4 linked regions of the Arabidopsis thaliana genome follow. The protein of the gene in region 4 purifies or fractionates together with the protein of the main gene of each other region. This does not show direct contact. Each region holds a gene or a part of one and is shown on either strand. Other genes may lie near its edges.

Region 1 (4,766 bases), on a different chromosome or scaffold from region 4:
GAGGAAGAAGGTGATGGCGATGAGGAGAGTGGAGAGGAGTAAAACGACGACGTGTTGTACTGATATCGCCATTGGAGACGAAGATCATTAGAGATCAGTGTTACGAGACGCGTTTCAGGTAAGAGGAAGAGGAAAGTGTGAGCTGAGCTGAGCTCCAAAAGTCGCAACTTTCACATTTCGATTTTGCAGAGAGAGCTTAAGTAATTTTTAATGCGCCGACAGATTAAAAAAGGATTTGTGTCCGAAAGAATTTTTCTTTTCTGATTAGTAGTATAAGACAAGATGTTTGATCTTGTAATAAATCATTTTAATTATGAATCAATTGCAAGTTAACCATTTATGTATCAGACAGAGGATTTTTAAGAATTTCATTTTTGGTAAATTTTCTCAATAGAAGATCGCAGTAGTAATTGATGAATATCTGCATCTTCGGAGACATCAGATCTGAATTAAATCTACACACCTATCATTGCCAGATCCAATCAACCTACTTTCCTGAGGTTTAAACTCAAAAGTATGATCATATTGAGCCAAAGTTTTCCTAAGATAATAATGAGTCATGTGGTGGAGCAACATATTCTTGAGCAGTAGTAACATATGCAAAGAATCAAATCTTTTATAAAACCATGAATGTATGATTGATATGTAACCACCCCCTATGGGTAAAATAAAATGCCTCAGAGTCATCAAAAAGCACATAAATCCTCTCGGAGGTTTTTCTACTGCCTTGTCAAAGCTTAAACCAAAATACTGGGACTGTTGAGATTGGGTAGATTTAATAGAAAGAAAAATCCGGCAATCTTACTCGATGATTCCGGCACCTGCATCGAGATCCACTTCGCCCATACCAGTGTCCTCTTCTTCGTCTCCGCTATCTTCATCGCCGCTCATTTCTTCATTGTCAAGACGTAGCTTAGCCATGTGTTCTGTCAGCATCTTTTCATCACGTTCACTCACCTATATTTGACATAGATTATAAACATTAATAGGCGGTTGTGAACCAAATTAAACAAAACACAAAAGAAAAGCTCGTTCTTGTGACATGCAACTCGAGACGGTTCATCACTTAAAAAAAACTAATTTAAGATACTCACAGCTCTAGCCCCCTCCTTAACGACAAGCTTGCCTTTGTGTGTCTCAATTGTCTCAGTGCATGCTGCTATGGCTTTGTTTAGAATTTCAATCCCTTGTTCCTGTTTAATATTTGAGAAATTGAGAAGATAAAATGGGACAAAACATAGCATTTACACATTTATGGTTTAAGTGAAGACAAATCCGCAGAGCTACATAATTGGCAAACAAAGTTGCAATGTCCAGTGTTTTCTTAAGCATTTACTTTCCTTGCAACTACAGTGTTTTCAAAATTCTGGCAAGTAGCTTTAGTGGATATACAATCTAAACAGAGATCATAAACCTCTTAAAGATAAGTAGGGGAGGATTTCTATAATATACCAATTACCAAACCAAGTAAATCATAGTGCAAGATAGAAGATTGCCTAACCTTGTCAAGTGTCTGAGTAGTAAGGACATACAGAGGTGGAGCAACCAATTTAATCTTAACAGGACAGTCTTCATTTCCAGCGGCTTCAGCATTTTTCATAGCCTCCTGAAATTACAAGCATGGGTGAGAAAATCAAATGAAATCATAATGTATTCATTTCACAAGTTAAAGATAATCTAATAAGAGATACGACCTTAATGTGAACAACTCCATCAAACTGAAAACACTTCAATTCGATATCAGCCCGGATTTTCATTGGTTGTGGTGTCATTCTCCTCCTAATGTTCTTCACAAGTGCATCTTTCACTTCTTCCGTAACAGCAGGTACAACCTTAGTCACCTACAAACAGAAAACTTGTAAGATTAGCACCAAATAAAGTTAGTACTAACCGCTAAAACAATGCCAGAGAACAAAGTATATACCTCTTGCCCATCAGGCCCAACTTCTTTGATCTCACGGGTGAGAGGACCCAACACTGAATCAGGATCCGTCACTAAGATCTTGAAAGCCTGAACAAAAGAAAATTATATATGAGAACTAAATAACCATAGAGATACACAATGAATCTCCAATTCACAAAATTCTTACCTCAAAAGCATGACCATGTCGTCGATACAAAGGCCAACCAATGTTCACATACAAGTCCTGCAACATGAAAGCTCAAATCAATTTCTATTCAACGATCACATCACTAAGCTATGATATTTGATAATATCTCTAACAAGCAAAATCCAAATCCAGTAGATAATCCCAGATTTGAACTACGATATTTTACCTCCAAATCAATTGAAAGAGTCTCAGCAACATGGCGCATGATAGAATGAACAAGTTTGCTCTTGTTATACCTCTCTTCACAAGTCTGAATATCTTCCTCGCTGACTCTACGTTTGCTCAGATCAATGTAACCTTTCTCTTTGTCAACACGGAGAACCATGACAGGCTCAATTCTTCCGACCTTAATCAAACTGCTAACACTTCGGATCCGACGACGAGAGAGCTCGGAGAAAAGGATCATGCCTTCGATGTTGTTGTACTCGAGGAGAGAAACATAAGCTCCCATATCGGCAATGTTCTTCACCTGGATCATCACCGCCATATCCACCTCTGGGTATTTCGCCTCGTACATCCGACACTCGAGATTCGGTGTTTGACTCGCCATGATTGGTAGATTTCGATACTGCTTGAGCTCACGCGAATTCACTCTTCGTTGAATCGGGTAAAGCTACGAGGCGGAGACACTTAGGGTTTTAGACTTTTTAGGCGACGGAGCAAATCAGACAGGTTTCTAGAGATAAGAAATGAGCAAGGAACACAAACGGAAAATGAGTCGACTTGCGTCAAAGATGCCAAGTTAAACGGCACCGTGTCAGTTAAACAATTAGGTTTTAATTGGGCCACAAGATAGTTTCAAGGGGTTAGGGGTTAAAAGCCTATTCGGGTTTCAGACATTTTCGGCCCAACTTCTTTCACAACGTAAGTTTGGATTGATTTCCTTTGCTTATTCATGAATTGCGTTTAAACCGGAGCAAACTAAACTAGAGCTCGAATCCACATTTGGCAGTCCAAAAACATTCTGACCGAACCGATGTAGAATCGATCACCAGGTGGGTTTGATGAACCTTATACCAGAATATAAAGTTATGTGATCATGTCTTTTGTCTCTTACAGAAAAAGAAGTCTACTACCTCACAAAATCGTAAAAGCTAAAGAACTAAACATAAAGTAGACACATATAGAAACACAGTAGACACAAGAGTCCCTCGAAGCTGCTTACCCTTCCAGAAGCATCTGATTGAAATGCCATGTTCCTGAAATTACCCACAAGCATTCAAAGACATATATTAAAACCAAGTTTGAGGCACGACGTAGGATGAATAAGTGGATTTTCTTGTTCTTTTATAAATTTATAGATTAGAACAAAATGTGAGAGATTATTTATGTACCGTGTCCTTTGCCAACTCGTCGCAGTTGAGCCACATATTCTGAGATCAACTTGATTGCTTCCACCTGAGAAATGTTTTATTTTATCAAAAATTCCTATTAGATTCTCTTTGATAGCTTATATACAACAGTAGCTCTTTGCCACTAACATAGAACACCAAATAAATTACCTGCTCTGTCAGAAACTCGCTCTCAATAAAATCTGCCAAGTGGACATCATTGTTCTTCGAAGCAACCTGTTGAAGCAAAGCATTACCAAACTGAGAACAGTTCTTGCCGAGTGAAGATTAGATTTACTTCTCAAATACGGATTTGACATATATAGTATGAACTCAAGAAGAGATGGTCTTTACACTGTGAAGGTTTAAGAGCTTCTCATTAACTAGTTTCTCCAGTGACAGAGCAAGCTCCATGCCTGCAACAACAAATCACAGAATTGTATGTTAAAATTCCTATATCCATTGAGACTTGAATCTCCATATGAGAGATACATTTTCATAATACTTAAGAACTCAGATAAAATTCAGTCTTTGCTAGTGAAAATATGCAATCTCTTCAAAAGCTTAACAAAATCATTGGTGTCAATATCTAATTTCTTAGAATGTGGCAGACATATGAAACTAAAGAAGTTTTTTCACTTGGGATTATTAGTGTTAGCATTTTTGAGCTTACCATAAAGAGCATCTCCTTTGTCAACATGTTCAAACTCTGAAAGAGGCATTACAATGGACTGTAACTTAACCCTCCCACCACGTTTGTTCTGCAATTCATGGAAAAAAACTAAAACATGTTAGAACCAAATTAGCTCCAATAAGGTAAACAAATGGAAATAACTTTCATAAGACCTGATACTCCATTAACTTCTCAGCATGCTCTCTTTCTTCCAAACTTGATTCCTTAAAGAACCTGATTCCATGAAACCAACAATTAACTATGGATAAACAAAAAAAATCCGAAAATATCAACACTCTTGAATAACCGGAGACTCACTTGGCAAGACCTTTGAGCGCGATGTTATCCCGATCAAAGTAAGCATACATAGCGTGATACACATACGAGACATTGTATTCCACACTGCAACCAAAATCCATTGAAGAATTTCAAATTCACAGGTTCATAAACAATAAGCAGAATCAACATGAGGTTCCAAGTTACCAAATCTTATAGCCAATCAACCAGATTATAATACCGAATCTAAGAGACTGGGGTGAGAAAGAATAACCTACTTGATCTGCTCGTTAATGGCGGCTTCGCACTCGTCTGAGTACTTTTGTCGAGCGAGTGAGAGATGAGAGCTGGTAGGGACGAGATCGAGCTCCTTTT
Region 2 (5,706 bases), on a different chromosome or scaffold from region 4:
TCCCAATAACTGGCCAGTTTCGAAAAACCTGACCATGAGGTTTCTTGAAGTACATGTAATAGAAGAAGAAAAGGCAAATGATGGCTATGGCAACGTCAAGTAAGCTTACAGAAGCCATATGAGAGAGTTAGGAGCTTGGTTTACAGACACAATATGGTGGTGGTTCCTTTTGTGTGTTGAAGGAACTTGTTTATATAGAGTAAGATTATTACATATATAAATTAGCAACCAACAAAAAGAAAATTTATTAAAAAAGAAAGAAATTACCAATGCATTCATTCAACTGCTTTTCATATCTTAAGAATTAAGATTAGTGAAAGTGTTAAGCTGGTGAAGCTACTAACCACACAAATGGATGAGACAGAATTGGTGGAGGACTTGTAAAGAAGGGTCCATAATCTTACAATTTCAGACACTAAATGACAAACCAACTTTAAGAGGATAGACAAATCGAGAAGTGCATCAGAATTCACGGTCCCAGACACTGCAACGAAGGTCGTTGTAATAGTTTTCCAAATCTATTAATGTCATTAAATTTAATCAACAGTCCAAGTAACAACTAACTGTCAGAAATAATAACACCTCGACCTGGTCAGTGCAATGAAGGCCGTTTTAACAGTTTTTCTTTATTACATGAAGAAAAACTGAATCATATGTTTAGTAAATAAAATCCAAAAAAGTCTAGTTGCATACATAAAAACAAGGGAGGAGAAAATCTAGGCAAACCCATACTGGAGATAATAGGAGGTGTTCCGACAACATCAATCACATGCTTAATAGTATTATTGGAAGAAGACAAAAGTATCTAATAAGACATAAAAAAGGGTGTAGACACAGATTTCGTCTGGATATAATAATACAATTACAAAAGAAAGATAAAGCTGAGAAACCAAAAGAAATCCTGACCTTCCTATAGGAGATCTCATTATGGCTACTTTGGTTGGTCTCTTGACTGCTCTCCATTATCTGCAAAAATCATATCTTTTTAACGATCTGAACAACATCCTCGTCCTCAAGCTCGTGTTCCTGAAGTATAAAATACGATGTCGAGACAGCAATAGTTAGTTAGTCAGGGATATTGCAATATCGATTTACCAGATTAACTTTTGTTTGATTTGCTAGAAGAACTAACCTTTCCAACTCTTTGTGGCTTGTGTTTGGCACTTGAACCCCAAACCAGAGCGCTGTATCAGGAGATCATTAGTTAAGTATTCATGAGCGATGCTTTTGAGCAAGAACCATATAACAGAGAAAAGAAAAATGTTAAGGATTTTAATTACTTACTACTTGAATTGTTTAAGCATGTCTTTGTGAATCCGGATGCAGAAGTCCTCTACTGTTCTCTTCTTGGATGATAAGATTACGGGATCATCATAATCCGGATTCATTGCCTTTGGTTTTGTGTAGATTCGAGTTAGATCCAAGTATTCCCATATCTTGTCCAGAAGTCCATCAAGATTCCACTCCAGATGCGCACTGCAAGATAAATAAATTTATATCTTAATGGCAAAAGTAAACAAGTTTATCGCAAATCCTGCCGGTAATTTAACAACATTTACCTGACAGGACAGTAATGAGGAAGTTTGTCCAAAATTTCAAGTTCCTCAAGTGTGATTGAATCGATCTTGTTGACAGCATAGATACAGGGCATATAAATCCGACTGCCCTCGATGACATCAATGAGGTCATCAGCGGTTGCATCGTAGCGCAGGGTGATGTCAGCATTGTGCATCCTGTACTCACCGCAAATCGCCTTGACGGTGTCAAGGTCAAGGTGTGTGACAGCGACTGTAGAAGTTAGATTGATACCACCTTTGTCTTTTTTCCTAAATGTTAAATTTGGTGGCTCCTTGTTCAACCTACATAGCAACAGTCCATGATCGAGTCAGACTATCTACCAGAAACGATCAAATATACAGTGTATAAAGGTTGTTATATAAACAATCTATACCTTATTCCGAATCCTTCGAGCTCTTTTTCAATGAGACGCTTGTGAGTAATTGGTTTTATGGCATCAAGAACTATTAAGATGCAGTTGCATGTCCTAGCCGTACTTATAACCTGGAAATAGTAAAGTGTGAAAGATGATCAAAGAGGGTCAAAATATAAAATACTCAAGAGATTTAGACTCGACTTACCTGTCTTCCTCTACCTTTTCCATCTTTAGCACCCTCAATAATACCAGGAAGATCTAATAACTGCAAACACATAGAAGGGGACATAAAAAAGAGTATTAGCATCAGTGTCCAATGAATAATTACAGGTCGTTTCCTGACTTAAACTAAGTACCAAGAAGTCATTAAAAGATCAAGCAAGATACATGTTTAATATAGAAGTAAGACTCGAGAAAAGATAATTACAAGCTAGGACATGGCATATGTAGCCAAGGATTTCATTGTGTTTCAACAATTACCAAGACAGAGGAAACACTATCCAAGAATTATCATTTTTCCCCCACAAATAACAGATTAACACAGACGCATAGATGTAGATACCATACCTGGATTTTAGCTCCACGATATGTGATAACACCAGGAATGCATGTCAAAGTCGTGAACTCATAAGAAGCAACCTGAGAAAACATTGTGTATCACAGTATGTACCTTCAGAAAATTGAGTATCAGCCAAAATACAGTTCTAATTCCAAGATTTATGTTCATCTATCCAGGAAAAGACTAGCGCCGAACAGTCTTGCCTTATAAGTGATATTGCACAGGAAGTTGGTCAAAAAGTAACTAGAAATAGGATGCCATGGATACGTGGTAGGTTTCAAAATTCCAATTACAACAAGAGAAAGGAAGTTCAATATTCGTAACGATAACTACAAACCTCGGAAAATGTCCCAGTCAGCTTGTTTAATAGCGTAGATTTTCCAACCGAAGGAAATCCGACCAGTCCAACTCTAGAATCTCCACTTTTAGTCACATCAAAACCTTCTCCAGCACCACCACCGCCACCTTTGGTAGGCGGTGCAAGAAGGTCCCTCCGAAGCTTAGCAAGCTTGGCCTGCAAAATGGACCAGTGAAATATGACGAGAAGCTAATGGTGCAGGAATAAGTACCAAATTCTAAAATCAATACAGAATAATATATAATGCCTGCCTAGTAGTTGTTTGATCCAAGGAACTTCACAAGAGATCATGCCGTAAATAAAATATCTCAGCTTTGTGCTTATTCAATGATTTGGGAGTTCGTATAAAACATAAACGATTTCAACCAGAAGTTAAAATATTTCTTAATGAGCTTGCTTACTGGTTGGGATTTCATGATAGCTTTTATCAAGTATCAAAACAGATATAAACCAATCAACCAAATTTGCATTTGATAAGCAAAAACACCTCAACCAATCAACCTCACTCTCAAAGCTACAAAAAACGACCTAAAGAGGAGAAAAAATGTACCTTTAACAAACCCAGATGATGAGAAGTAGCTTTATTCTTCTGTGTTTTAGCCATCTGCCACATAAACAAAAAAAACCTCGTACTTGTGAGTCACCCAGATTGAAAAATCATTTCTTTGATTCAGAATAGATATTTCGGATTCACAGTTCTATGCATCCAAAATTGAAGAGAAGAGGTGAAGAATCAGAGAGGATTGAATAATTACCTCATCTTCAATTTCTTTGATCTTCTGCATAATAGTCGACATGGTTGCAGTCAAAGCACAGAGAGCTCACGGAGACAACGTCAAGGAAAAGAGGTTATACGCGAGTGAAAGGAAGAAGGACACCGGAATCTCTGATGCAGAGAAATTGACGACGACGGACGAGACAGAAGCAGAGGAATCCCGAGGGTTTTCGTTTCGTCCACCTGATTACGACAAAGGAGAAAAAACTAGAACAGAACTGTCTAGAATTCGGCCTGACCCAACAACATTTTAGGCCCATATATGTCCGATTTGGTTTTCCGGTTTAATAAAATTTACAACAGAATGAGAATTTAGTTTGGTTATATACAATAAACCCTGTTCTGAATTTTTGTTTTGTTTTGTTTTGAATTGGTGTTTTTCGGTTTTAGTTGATTTCAAAAACGGTTTAACTAAATTCAAATGAATCATGTACAACATACCATTCATGCATTCACCATTACAACTTCTCTCTCAACCCGGTTTTAGGAGATGATGAGAAGAAACTGAGAACTGAACCGGGGTTAATTTTTGAGTCTTCCTTCGGATTTGAACGGAACAGAATCGATTTTCCCTTGATTACAAAACTTAATAGCAACATCTTTGCTCTCCTGAGCTAGCTACCCCTTCAGCTTCTCGATATTAACCATGGCTTATTCTTTCTTCTTTGGCTCGCTTTTAAGCTTCATCTGCTGCATTGGTCTTTAACCAAATAGAGTCCATCACTCCAATAGAAAATGAGTTCTTGTATGGTAGTTATTAACTAACTCCTCTGATCTGCACAAGTAAGTCGTCTAACACTTCATAAATTTGATTAGCCTTGCAGTGAGATTTATCCTTAGACAAAAATATATGAACCTCCTTATTAATCCCAATCCAACTACGTCCAGGTTCTTTCACCACACCTTCAACCTTCATTCTTTCTCTCACCTTCTTAGCTTCAGTCCACATACCCTTGGACGCGTAAATATTAGAAAGCATAGTAAACGATCCACTGTCCTTGGGATCAGACAAAATAGCCATTTCAGCAGCATGTTCAGCTAACTCGACGTTACCGGCCTTTGCGCATCCACTCAGCAAGCTCCTCCATACTATAGCAGCTGGTTTTGTCGGCATTTTCTCAATTAACTCCCTTGCTTTGTTCAATCTACCAGCACGGCCTAAAAGAGATACCATACAAACATAGTGCTCAGTTTCAGGTTCAATTCCAAATCGAAGCATTAACTCAAATTGCTTAAGTCCATCTTCTACAAGACCAGCATGGCTACACGCTGATAGAACTCCAACAAAGGTGATGTAGTTAGGCTCTATTCCCTCACTCATCATTTTTTCAAGCATCTGAAGAGCCTTTTTGCCTTCTCCATGATTCGCATAAGATGAGATGACAGAATTCCAACAAACTACATCTCTTGAAGCTGCTGAATCAAAAGCCTTATGAGCGTCTTCGGGACTACCACATTTGGCGTACATATCTAGTAGAGCATTTGTAATATACGGATTACATTCCAAGCCTCTTTTCAGAAGCTGGCAATGGAACTCTTGACCCAATTGAACACTTGCTAGGTTGCCAGCTGCTGTAACCATGTTGGCAAACGTGAATTCGTCAGGTCTTTCTCTTGATAACTGTAATTCCAGAAACAGGTTGAGAGCTTCTTCGTTCTCTGATTGTTGAACATAACCTGCAAACATAGAATTCCAGATAACAAGATCTTTCACTTTCATTTCATCAAACACAAGCCTGGAATCCTTGAGGCAGTAGCAATTTGAGTAAACATCAATCAAAGCGCTTCCAGCAAATATATCTAAGTTTAACCCATATTTGAACATCAATCCATGGATTTGTTTACTCAGTCCCAAGCTTGTTAAAGAAGCAGATGCACGTAGAAGGCTAACAAAAGTCAATAGGCTAGGTCGAATCAATCTGAACCTCATGTCACGAAAGATGTTCAATGCTTCATGTAGTTCCCATTGTGTCCCAAGTCTCGAGTAACCTTCAATCATTGCATTGAATAAAACCACATCAGCAGCAGCGAAAATATCAAAAACTTTTCTGGCATCGGTCAAACAGTCACATTTCGCATAC
Region 3 (4,353 bases), on a different chromosome or scaffold from region 4:
AACAGAGAAGAAGCTTCCTTTGTAAAGAGAAGAGCTTCGCAATCTCGAAGATGATTTGTGATTGAGACGAGACAGAGACGCGAAGTTTGAAGAAGAAGAAGAGTAAGAGGAAACTTCGCTTACCGTTATCATCCTTATCCTTCTTCTCCTTCTCCACAACAACGACGATTTCTTCTTTTCCTTTTCACTTTTTTTTTTTTTCTTACGGAATCCAGCTAATGGGCCAGGCCTTTTAGGCCCAATACATCTTTTGCACATTATTAATCTTTGTTGTTTTGGGCGTTAGGAATGAGACCATGACTTCAAGTCTTTCTTTCTGTTTCTTCAAGACTTCAAGTTTCAAGTTTCAACAATCACAAATTATATCTTTCTCTCAAATGAACTATGTAGGATAATTAGTTAATTAAGCTGTAACATCCATAGACTATAAAACTTTTAATAACAAATCAAGATGATGCAATTGATCAAACTCTAGTTAGACTTCACACAAAAAGCATAAGCACATAGAAGTTTAGTTATCTCCTTTGGTGACAGATTAGGAATACTCTGAAGATATAATGAGACTACAAGTTTGGTATATGTGAATGCATCAAATATAATCATGCCAAAGAAGGAGGAGAAGGGATAAAAATGGTGGTTCCAGCCTCAATCTGACCGCGACCGATCAAACGCCAATGCCTATCCACACGGCGACTTATAGCCACTTTCTCTCCAATGCTGGTGCACACAGGGAGTGTCAGATTAACTTTCACCATATCTTTCTTTACTCCAATAACCATAGCTCCCGTAGACATCGATCCGATATTCAACATCAGTATCTCTCCCTTGACTAGCTTTGACACTCTCATTTGCCTCTCTGTTTCCTTTGTCTTCACTCCAATGAGACGTGTCAGAAGCTGGAAACTCACTTCAAGTTCAACATAGACATCAGGGAGAGTACCTATTTCACCAAGGACTTGACCAACTAACCTATCACCACGCGTAAGCGTAGGATCCATGCTTGTCCCAATTCCAATCAAACCTCCCGGGACAGCAAACTGAAGCTCGTTCTGTTCCGCGTACAATGAAGTTATACGCGTGTAAATGGGAGTGCATTTAGTGTCTCCATTCTCATCTTTTCTAGTGATTCCAGGTCTTATCTCTATTATATGCCCCACCTTCAAAACACCCTGCAAACAAAGCAAAGAGAGACATAAGTTACATTGATTCAACCGCGATTTATCCTAGTTTTTCGGGGTATTGAGTATGTTTTACCTGAAGGATACTCCCACCTGCAACTCCACCTTTCATACCATCATAATCAGAGCCAGGTTTATTGACATCAAAAGAACGAATCACAATCATTCTTGGAGGTGACACAAAATCCCTCACAGGGAGTGGAATCTTCTTGACAATGTACTCACACAAAACATCGATGTTGTATTTCAGTTGCGCTGAGACAGGAACTATAGGAGCACCTTCCGCATTCGTGTTCTGTAATAACAAGTTTAAAACTTAACCAACTAATCAAGAAGTGAAAAATGCAAAAAAAAAACAGAATGGGAAAATTGAATCAAACCGTTATAAATCTCTGGATGTCCTCGTGCTGTTTAATAGCCTCGTTTTCTTGGATGAGATCAATCTTGTTCTGAATGATTATGATATCTTTAAGATGCATCATATCAACAGAAGCAAGATGTTCAGCTGTTTGTGGTTGTGGACATGTCTCATTCGCAGCAATGATTAGTAAAGCACCATCCATAATCGCTGCTCCATTCAGCATTGTCGCCATTAGGATATCGTGTCCCTAATCAACACACAAAACACCTCATTAACATATAGAAAATGGTTACAAAAGATTTAGAAATAGTGTTAAAACTCATTTTATACCGGGCAATCAACAAATGAGACATGTCTTAGTAGTTTCATCTTGTACTTCTCATGTCCAGAGACATCACAACTTGGGTTGTCTTCTTTGCCACTCCCGAAAGACCTATAATTAACACATATCATAAGTTGCTACGTACACTACGTAACCTTATTGTAGCAAAAGAAGAGCAAGAATTCACTTGTAGGCTACTGGTCTAGGGCATTTTTCACATTTGTAAATCTTTGCGTTTGCGTAACCAAGTTTAATGGTAATGTTACGCTCCAATTCACTCTTGAATTTGACAGTGTGCACACCGGAAACGGCTTTCACGATTGTCGATTTCCCGTGAGCGACATGGCCAATGGTTCCTGAGATATAGAGAGCATAGTCATATCTTTAGCTTTCAATGCACGGCTGATCAGTTTCTTCAGCATCAAAACTCAATGAAACAAAAACTTGTGTATACCTATGTTAATGGTGGCTTGACGAGAGATGACCTCAGGAGAGAGAGGATGCAGCTGAGCTACATCAAGTTTACTTAGATCTTGTTCAGCTAAGCCCTTGTTCTTCGACATTACGACAGATTTCATCTTAAACACTCTGTTGCAATCAATCAAAGTTCACAACTTTAGAACAACGTTGATCAGAGCCAATACAATAACACTAGAAGTTTCGAAAGGCTGTTCAGAAACTAGGGTTTTTATGCAAGATGGATGGGTTCCGTTCACAATAGTTACGATTCGATTAAATTCAATTAGGGTTGCTAATCTATTTCACTGAAGTTCTTATAAAAATGATTTACACAAACCTGAAGTACGGTAAGAGGTAGATGAAGAAGTTTGCTCGCAGAGATTTCAGAGGAGAAAGCGTGCCGTTGAAGGTTTGTGTTTTTGGTTTTGATAAAGTCAGGTGGCGTGTAAGGTATATTTATAGGTAGGGTTTTATCTTAACGTTTACTGTTTGTCTTTTTCGCCAACTTCATTTTTCCATGTGTCAATAAAACATGTCTTACAATTTTTATTTTATAATTGTCGGTTTCTTACCCGAAATGTTTTTTTATAGGAAAATTTGTGTTAGGTAATTTTGCAATTTCATTTACAAAATATAGCACGCTCCTTTTGAGATGGGCTAAAATCGTTCCAAAGTTTGGGCTTACACGCCTAACCATTGGCCCACTCCAGTTTACTTCTATCTTTCACCAAACTAAGAAACATTGATCCTTGAACAAAAAGTAGTATATGTTTATATGATGACAAAAAAAAAAGAGTAGGAAATCTATGATTCTATAGGAGTGTAAATGAATAAGCTGTGATAAATTTAGGTTATTTTTCTTAACGATATATATTGTTAGATCAAATTTTATAGTTACATCATTTGGAGTATAATGTAAATATGTTCCGCTTTATAATAATGTAAATATGATTTGTAATACTAATGAGAACACACGCTCATTGTCTTCCAGTTCAAGAAATATCTTAAACCCCACTTTTTATCAGCCACCTGAATTTGAGTCTTCCTCTGCCACATAATAAATTGTTTACATGGACCAATTCTTGGTTACAAAACATCTGATATCATATCGTGCAATTAAGAAGGTATTAAATGATGTTTTTTTCTGTGGCATTTGTATATACTTTCAAGTTTCGACCAATTCTATAAGTTAAGAAAAAGGCATTGAGGGAAATTTAGGTTAGAAAAAGTACACAACGATCCCAGCAATGGGAAGTAGCTATCACTTTCAGTGACCCTATTTCTCTGAGTGGGCAATAACATTGTAGGCCCCATTCTGTGGAAAATCCACTAACTTCAATGTCTGCTCTCATTTTCTATTGTCTCCTTCGCTGTTTTTTTACAATTTACGTTACCACCAAAACTATTCCTTTGTTTAATGACGAAAACGCCACTCTTTCTAAGCAAAATGTCAGAGAATTTTGTTTCTTTGTTGGAGAGTTGAAAATATTTTTTACATAGAAAAAGAAACCAATAATGCAGTCAAATAATAATAGGAAGCAAATAATAATGCAAGTATCTCTAATTCTCTATATCAAATTGTATTCAATCATATTCACCAGATGTAACCTCTATAATGGAACCTTTTTGAATATTAAAATATCATTAGATCCTATTCTTACAATGTATCAATCAATTACTAATTAATTTTCTCTGGTTTTCTTGATATAACAATAACGTTAAAAAATCTCATTGTTAATCTCTTTATGCCATCATTAGTATTGTAAGATTTTGTACACTTTAAATTGTAAATTTGATCTTACAGAAACAAAAGATCTACAAATCTTAGTTACAGAAGATAATGGTATTAAACTATACAAATCTTAGTAGTTTAATATTATTAATAATCAAAATTATTCTAAATTAGAACTTTTACAAAATAAACATTTATCAGTCGCTTTCATAAATGTCAAACAATAAAAAAAGAAAAAGAATCAAAGATCTAAAGAGTGGCATTTTTATGACGTCACATTGAAATCCAACCGTGTAAATTC
Region 4 (3,805 bases):
TTCTGAATCCAAGTTGGTCCTTCATTTTTCGTTGGTTTATGGATGAGAACAGATTCCTCTTCATTTGGTTGCATGTTTAGGTATATATTCATATCCACAGAGTCAATAAAACATGGACTTGATTATTTAAATAAAAAACATTAACTTACAAGGCAAGGGAAGCGGTCCTAGGTTTCAGCCCAAAAGCAAAGAGATGAAACTTGAAGCACATGTTGGAGAGATATTAATCAGAGGACTGGAATGTGAGACAACTCCAAAGTAACGTGTCACTGCCAAGCTAAGATTCGAAGCCAACCCCCACTAGAGTTAGCTGACATGTCATATTCAATTTTTCTTGCGCAAGCTTCGGACCAACCCATCTTTAAAGTCATTTCACAAATGCACAATGTGATCTAAAGCAAATCCTCTTTACCGTGACAGGAACTAGGGAACTTATGTTTTTGCATTACGTGCATATAAAATGACACGTTACTCTTAGCAAATTTGCATCATTTGCGTTTTGTCTCAGTAACTGATCATTAAAGAACTTCCATTAGGCATACACTAGCTAAAGACATCTCACAAACGGTTTCGAGAGTTTTAGTTCAGCCCTACAACATCTCTCAGGACGCGGGAACTTCTTTTTTAGAGTTGTAGAGAAAACGTCTTCTGATACAACTGACTAACAAAGTCAGAAGAAATCACTATAAATCTTACAATGGAACCTTGCCCAGCACGTTGCTCTTGAATTTCCATATCTTCATGAGTTTCTTCACAGTAGATTTGGTATATCGACTGGTGCTACTAAACCACACTGCACAAGAACAGACTCAAATGAGACCAATTTATCCTCATCTTTCCCCTGACCTGAACGCAGCAATCAGATGGTTGCAGAGATTATTCTACTTACCGTCTCACATCTGAGATTGAAAAGACCATTGCCCTCCTCCGCGAGAGCTGTGTCAGGACTTTTGCAGCAGACGCAGATTACGAACGCATCTAAGACACAATGATTTTACATATCAGACAAGACACCCACCACTAGAAAAACAAAAAAAAAATCAACACCGGAGACTAGTTATGGAATTCACCAATGTATTTCCGGAACACAGCTTGAAAATCCTTAGAAGACACTAAACCCTTAATCTCTAGCCGCTGCTGTTTGTTCAGCGATACTTTTGTCTCCATTTGGGCAAGTAAGAATTTCATGACATGATCTGGCTTCCTATGCATCCTGAAAAATGTATATTTAAAAGTGATAAATGGCTCAATAACTACAAGTAGTTAAAGGGAAGATGAGTTAGAATTCGTACGTTCTGCAGAGATCAGCAAAGTTTAAACAAACAGTTATCGTCCCTTCTGCAAGGAGCTGAGGAGGCATCATCACTGTTCTTGGCCTCTCTGTAGAAACCTCGACATCTTCCTCACGAAGCCTATCAAACACCATACTCAAGAGCTGCAGAGCATAGAAAAGCTCGGATCACAAATGAGAACCAGTAGCATAACTAAAGAACTCTAATTTTAGCGAAAAGTACCTCTTTGTAGCCATAATCTGGCTCAAATTTCCGGCTAGATTGACAGTCCGGTAAGTTATCCTCTGTTACGATAACATCAATAAAGGACAGTAGCTTCAGACACAACATAGATTTGGGTACGATTAACTGATTATCTTCCAACGCAATTCTTTGAAAGCTAATTCATTACCCGTAAAGTGTCCTCCATTCTGGAAGAAGATGTCGTCTTCGCGTATCAGAGGCTTCTGCTTCTTCTTCTTCTTCTTCTTAGAAGGATCAAATTTACTGACCTACATCAGCATAAGCTTTAGCAAAACGGAACCCGAAGAAACGGTGATATAAGAGGTGGAGAAGCTGAAGCATACCCATGAAGAATCGTTATCTATAACCTCGAGTTCAAGTTTCCAACACGCCTGCTTTTGCTGTAAATCCATCGTCGCCGGCGGGTCGACAAGTTTCAGCGTTGATCGGAGGAAAATTAAAAACGAAACCAGGGACTGTGATTGGGCCTGTATTGGGCCTTCAGACATTGATGTTGGTATAACGAATTTTTTTTTTTTTTTTTTGATTCGAAGTTTGGTATTAACGATTTTTGAAAAGAATATATTACAGTGTAACTGGAAGATATCTAATTGGTTAAAAAGTAAGAAAGGTGGAGTCAAAGTATATGTATAGAGATTTGTACATAGATGCAATGGTTGGAGTCAGCGAGGAGCGATGCTGGGAACAAAGCCGCTGCTGAGATCGCTTCCTAGAAGGCTCGACGACTCGTAAAGGTCTCTTGTCACATTCGACGACGATGTTGACAGCACTGACGAAGATGACGCCAATTCCACTCTTGTCTCCCTATCGGGGGATGCTTGGAGCAGTGACTCCAGCTCCTTCACCACCTCCGCCATTCCTGGCCTCATCTCTGGTGAGTCGTGGCTACACCTCAGTGCCAAAGCCGCAAACTTTTCAACACTTTCCATCGACCACGGCTCCATTCTCTTGTCTATCAGCGATACCATCATATCCCTCTGCTCAGCCGTCTTCACCTCTCGTACTATATTTTTTCCATGGGATATGGCGTGCATACCAGTCAGCAGCTCCAAGAACACAACTCCGATGCTGTAAACATCGCTCTTGTCCGTCAGCTTGTGTGTCAGGAAATATTCAGGATCCAGGTACCCCTACAACATTCAATAAAACTAAGCAATGAATCTCTTGTGCCAATATATGTTTCACATCATTCATTTTGATGACTCACTGGAGTCCCACGGACAACGGTTGAGACGTGCTTAGGCACATCCTCTTCGTCCTCCAAAACAGGAGCAAGTCGAGACAGTCCAAAGTCTGCAACTTTGGCATTGAAGTTGGGGTCGAGGAGGATGTTACTGGCTTTGATGTCTCGGTGGAAAACTGGCGGGTTGGCTTCTGTGTGAAGGTAGAGAATACCTTTTGCTGCTCCCAACGCAACACGAATCCTCATCCCAAAGCTCAATGACTCCTTCCCCTTAGCTGCATCACCAAATATTCCATCAATTGAGAAAACTAAATGACACACATCCGAAAACGCCCCATGAATCATTGTGAATTACTACCAGACAACCAGTCGCGCAGGGTGCCATTTGACATAAATTCGTACACCAGCATCTGCAAATTCAGCAACTTCATAAGCAATTTTTATAGACATCCAACTGATAACACCTTACTCAGGCGGTTCTACTGGGTATCAAGAGAGTACCTGCTCGCTTTCTTCATCACAGTAACCGATCAGTGACACAAGATTCCGATGATGCAACCTCGAGAGCAGCTCTATTTCATTCAAGAACTCCTTTTCACCTTGCAAAGACCCTTCATCTGCTCGCTTTATTGCAGCAACAGTATTGTCAGATAAGACACCTCTGTAAACCTTTCCATAGCCTCCGCGCCCAACCAAAGTTGAGCTGCTAAAATCGTCGGTGGCCTCTGCTAGCTCTTTGAAACTAAAGCCTCTTATCCCAGAATTCAACAAGGAAGCCTTCGAGGCTGACAAATACAACCAGATTCAGTTAAAGTTGGTTGTAAATTTCAGTGGGATAAATTGGGAATGGAAGATTTGGTTACACTTACATGACCGTCTTCTAGATATCTCTCGCTCGTGCTTGCTGTATCTTCTAAGCAACAAGGCTGCAACCACAGCGGATATCGCAACAGCAGTCACCACAGCCCCTGCAGTTATTGCTGCCAATCGTCGCCAGCTGACGCCTTTCCTTTCACTGTTGAAGTTAACTGAGAGGAGATAAAGAAGACTTTCACTTAGCTCTTAGCAGTCAGTCTAGATCTACTTG

The links.
Region 1: the proteins of AT5G01940 (region 4) and AT2G40290 fractionate together in Arabidopsis thaliana (co-fractionation; one large-scale study listed by BioGRID). This does not show direct contact.
Region 2: the proteins of AT5G01940 (region 4) and AT4G39520 fractionate together in Arabidopsis thaliana (co-fractionation; one large-scale study listed by BioGRID). This does not show direct contact.
Region 3: the proteins of AT5G01940 (region 4) and AT2G18720 fractionate together in Arabidopsis thaliana (co-fractionation; one large-scale study listed by BioGRID). This does not show direct contact.

Annotation. Positions count from the first base shown.
Region 1 is NC_003071.7:16,828,229-16,832,994, forward strand, and holds AT2G40290 (Eukaryotic translation initiation factor 2 subunit 1), read right to left. Parts: upstream 2,999-4,766; 5' UTR 2,662-2,998; coding exon 2,278-2,661; intron 2,148-2,277; coding exon 2,091-2,147; intron 2,012-2,090; coding exon 1,925-2,011; intron 1,842-1,924; coding exon 1,695-1,841; coding exon of another isoform or gene 1,644-1,694; exon of another isoform or gene 1,607-1,643; coding exon 1,502-1,606; intron 1,194-1,501; coding exon 1,095-1,193; exon of another isoform or gene 1,091-1,094; intron 958-1,090; coding exon 802-957; 3' UTR 538-801; downstream 1-537. Other genes in the region: AT2G40280 (S-adenosyl-L-methionine-dependent methyltransferases superfamily protein), read right to left, coding at 1-72; FER4 (ferritin 4), read right to left, coding at 3,273-3,310, 3,446-3,509, 3,614-3,679, 3,797-3,858, 4,116-4,203, 4,289-4,349, 4,434-4,517, 4,670-4,766. UniProt on the Arabidopsis thaliana protein: Functions in the early steps of protein synthesis by forming a ternary complex with GTP and initiator tRNA. This complex binds to a 40S ribosomal subunit, followed by mRNA binding to form a 43S pre-initiation complex.
Region 2 is NC_003075.7:18,370,354-18,376,059, forward strand, and holds AT4G39520 (GTP-binding protein-like protein), read right to left. Parts: upstream 3,887-5,706; 5' UTR 3,648-3,886; coding exon 3,606-3,647; intron 3,455-3,605; coding exon 3,401-3,454; intron 3,007-3,400; coding exon 2,830-3,006; intron 2,573-2,829; coding exon 2,501-2,572; intron 2,199-2,500; coding exon 2,139-2,198; intron 2,062-2,138; coding exon 1,952-2,061; intron 1,860-1,951; coding exon 1,560-1,859; intron 1,477-1,559; coding exon 1,285-1,476; intron 1,185-1,284; coding exon 1,133-1,184; intron 1,027-1,132; coding exon 976-1,026; 3' UTR 512-975; downstream 1-511. Other genes in the region: CYP96A12 (cytochrome P450, family 96, subfamily A, polypeptide 12), read right to left, coding at 1-118; AT4G39530 (Tetratricopeptide repeat (TPR)-like superfamily protein), read right to left, coding at 4,383-5,706. UniProt on the Arabidopsis thaliana protein: Binds GDP and GTP, and has low GTPase activity in vitro.
Region 3 is NC_003071.7:8,114,321-8,118,673, forward strand, and holds AT2G18720 (Translation elongation factor EF1A/initiation factor IF2gamma family protein), read right to left. Parts: upstream 2,679-4,353; 5' UTR 2,658-2,678; intron 2,492-2,657; exon of another isoform or gene 2,450-2,491; 5' UTR 2,440-2,449; coding exon 2,316-2,439; intron 2,218-2,315; coding exon 2,049-2,217; intron 2,019-2,048; exon of another isoform or gene 1,993-2,018; coding exon of another isoform or gene 1,973-1,992; coding exon 1,870-1,972; intron 1,787-1,869; coding exon 1,559-1,786; intron 1,474-1,558; coding exon 1,255-1,473; intron 1,170-1,254; coding exon 600-1,169; 3' UTR 535-599; downstream 1-534. Other genes in the region: SCY1 (SECY homolog 1), read right to left, coding at 1-132; AT2G18721 (uncharacterized protein), read left to right, coding at 2,679-2,786.
Region 4 is NC_003076.8:362,843-366,647, forward strand, and holds AT5G01940 (eukaryotic translation initiation factor 2B family protein / eIF-2B family protein), read right to left. Parts: upstream 2,050-3,805; 5' UTR 2,024-2,049; coding exon 1,859-2,023; intron 1,784-1,858; coding exon 1,684-1,783; intron 1,577-1,683; coding exon 1,515-1,576; intron 1,436-1,514; coding exon 1,293-1,435; intron 1,214-1,292; coding exon 1,071-1,213; intron 979-1,070; coding exon 890-978; intron 842-889; coding exon of another isoform or gene 794-841; coding exon 752-793; 3' UTR 501-751; downstream 1-500. Other genes in the region: MAN6 (Glycosyl hydrolase superfamily protein), read right to left, coding at 1-25; AT5G01950 (Leucine-rich repeat protein kinase family protein), read right to left, coding at 2,198-2,665, 2,743-2,993, 3,077-3,143, 3,220-3,503, 3,588-3,746.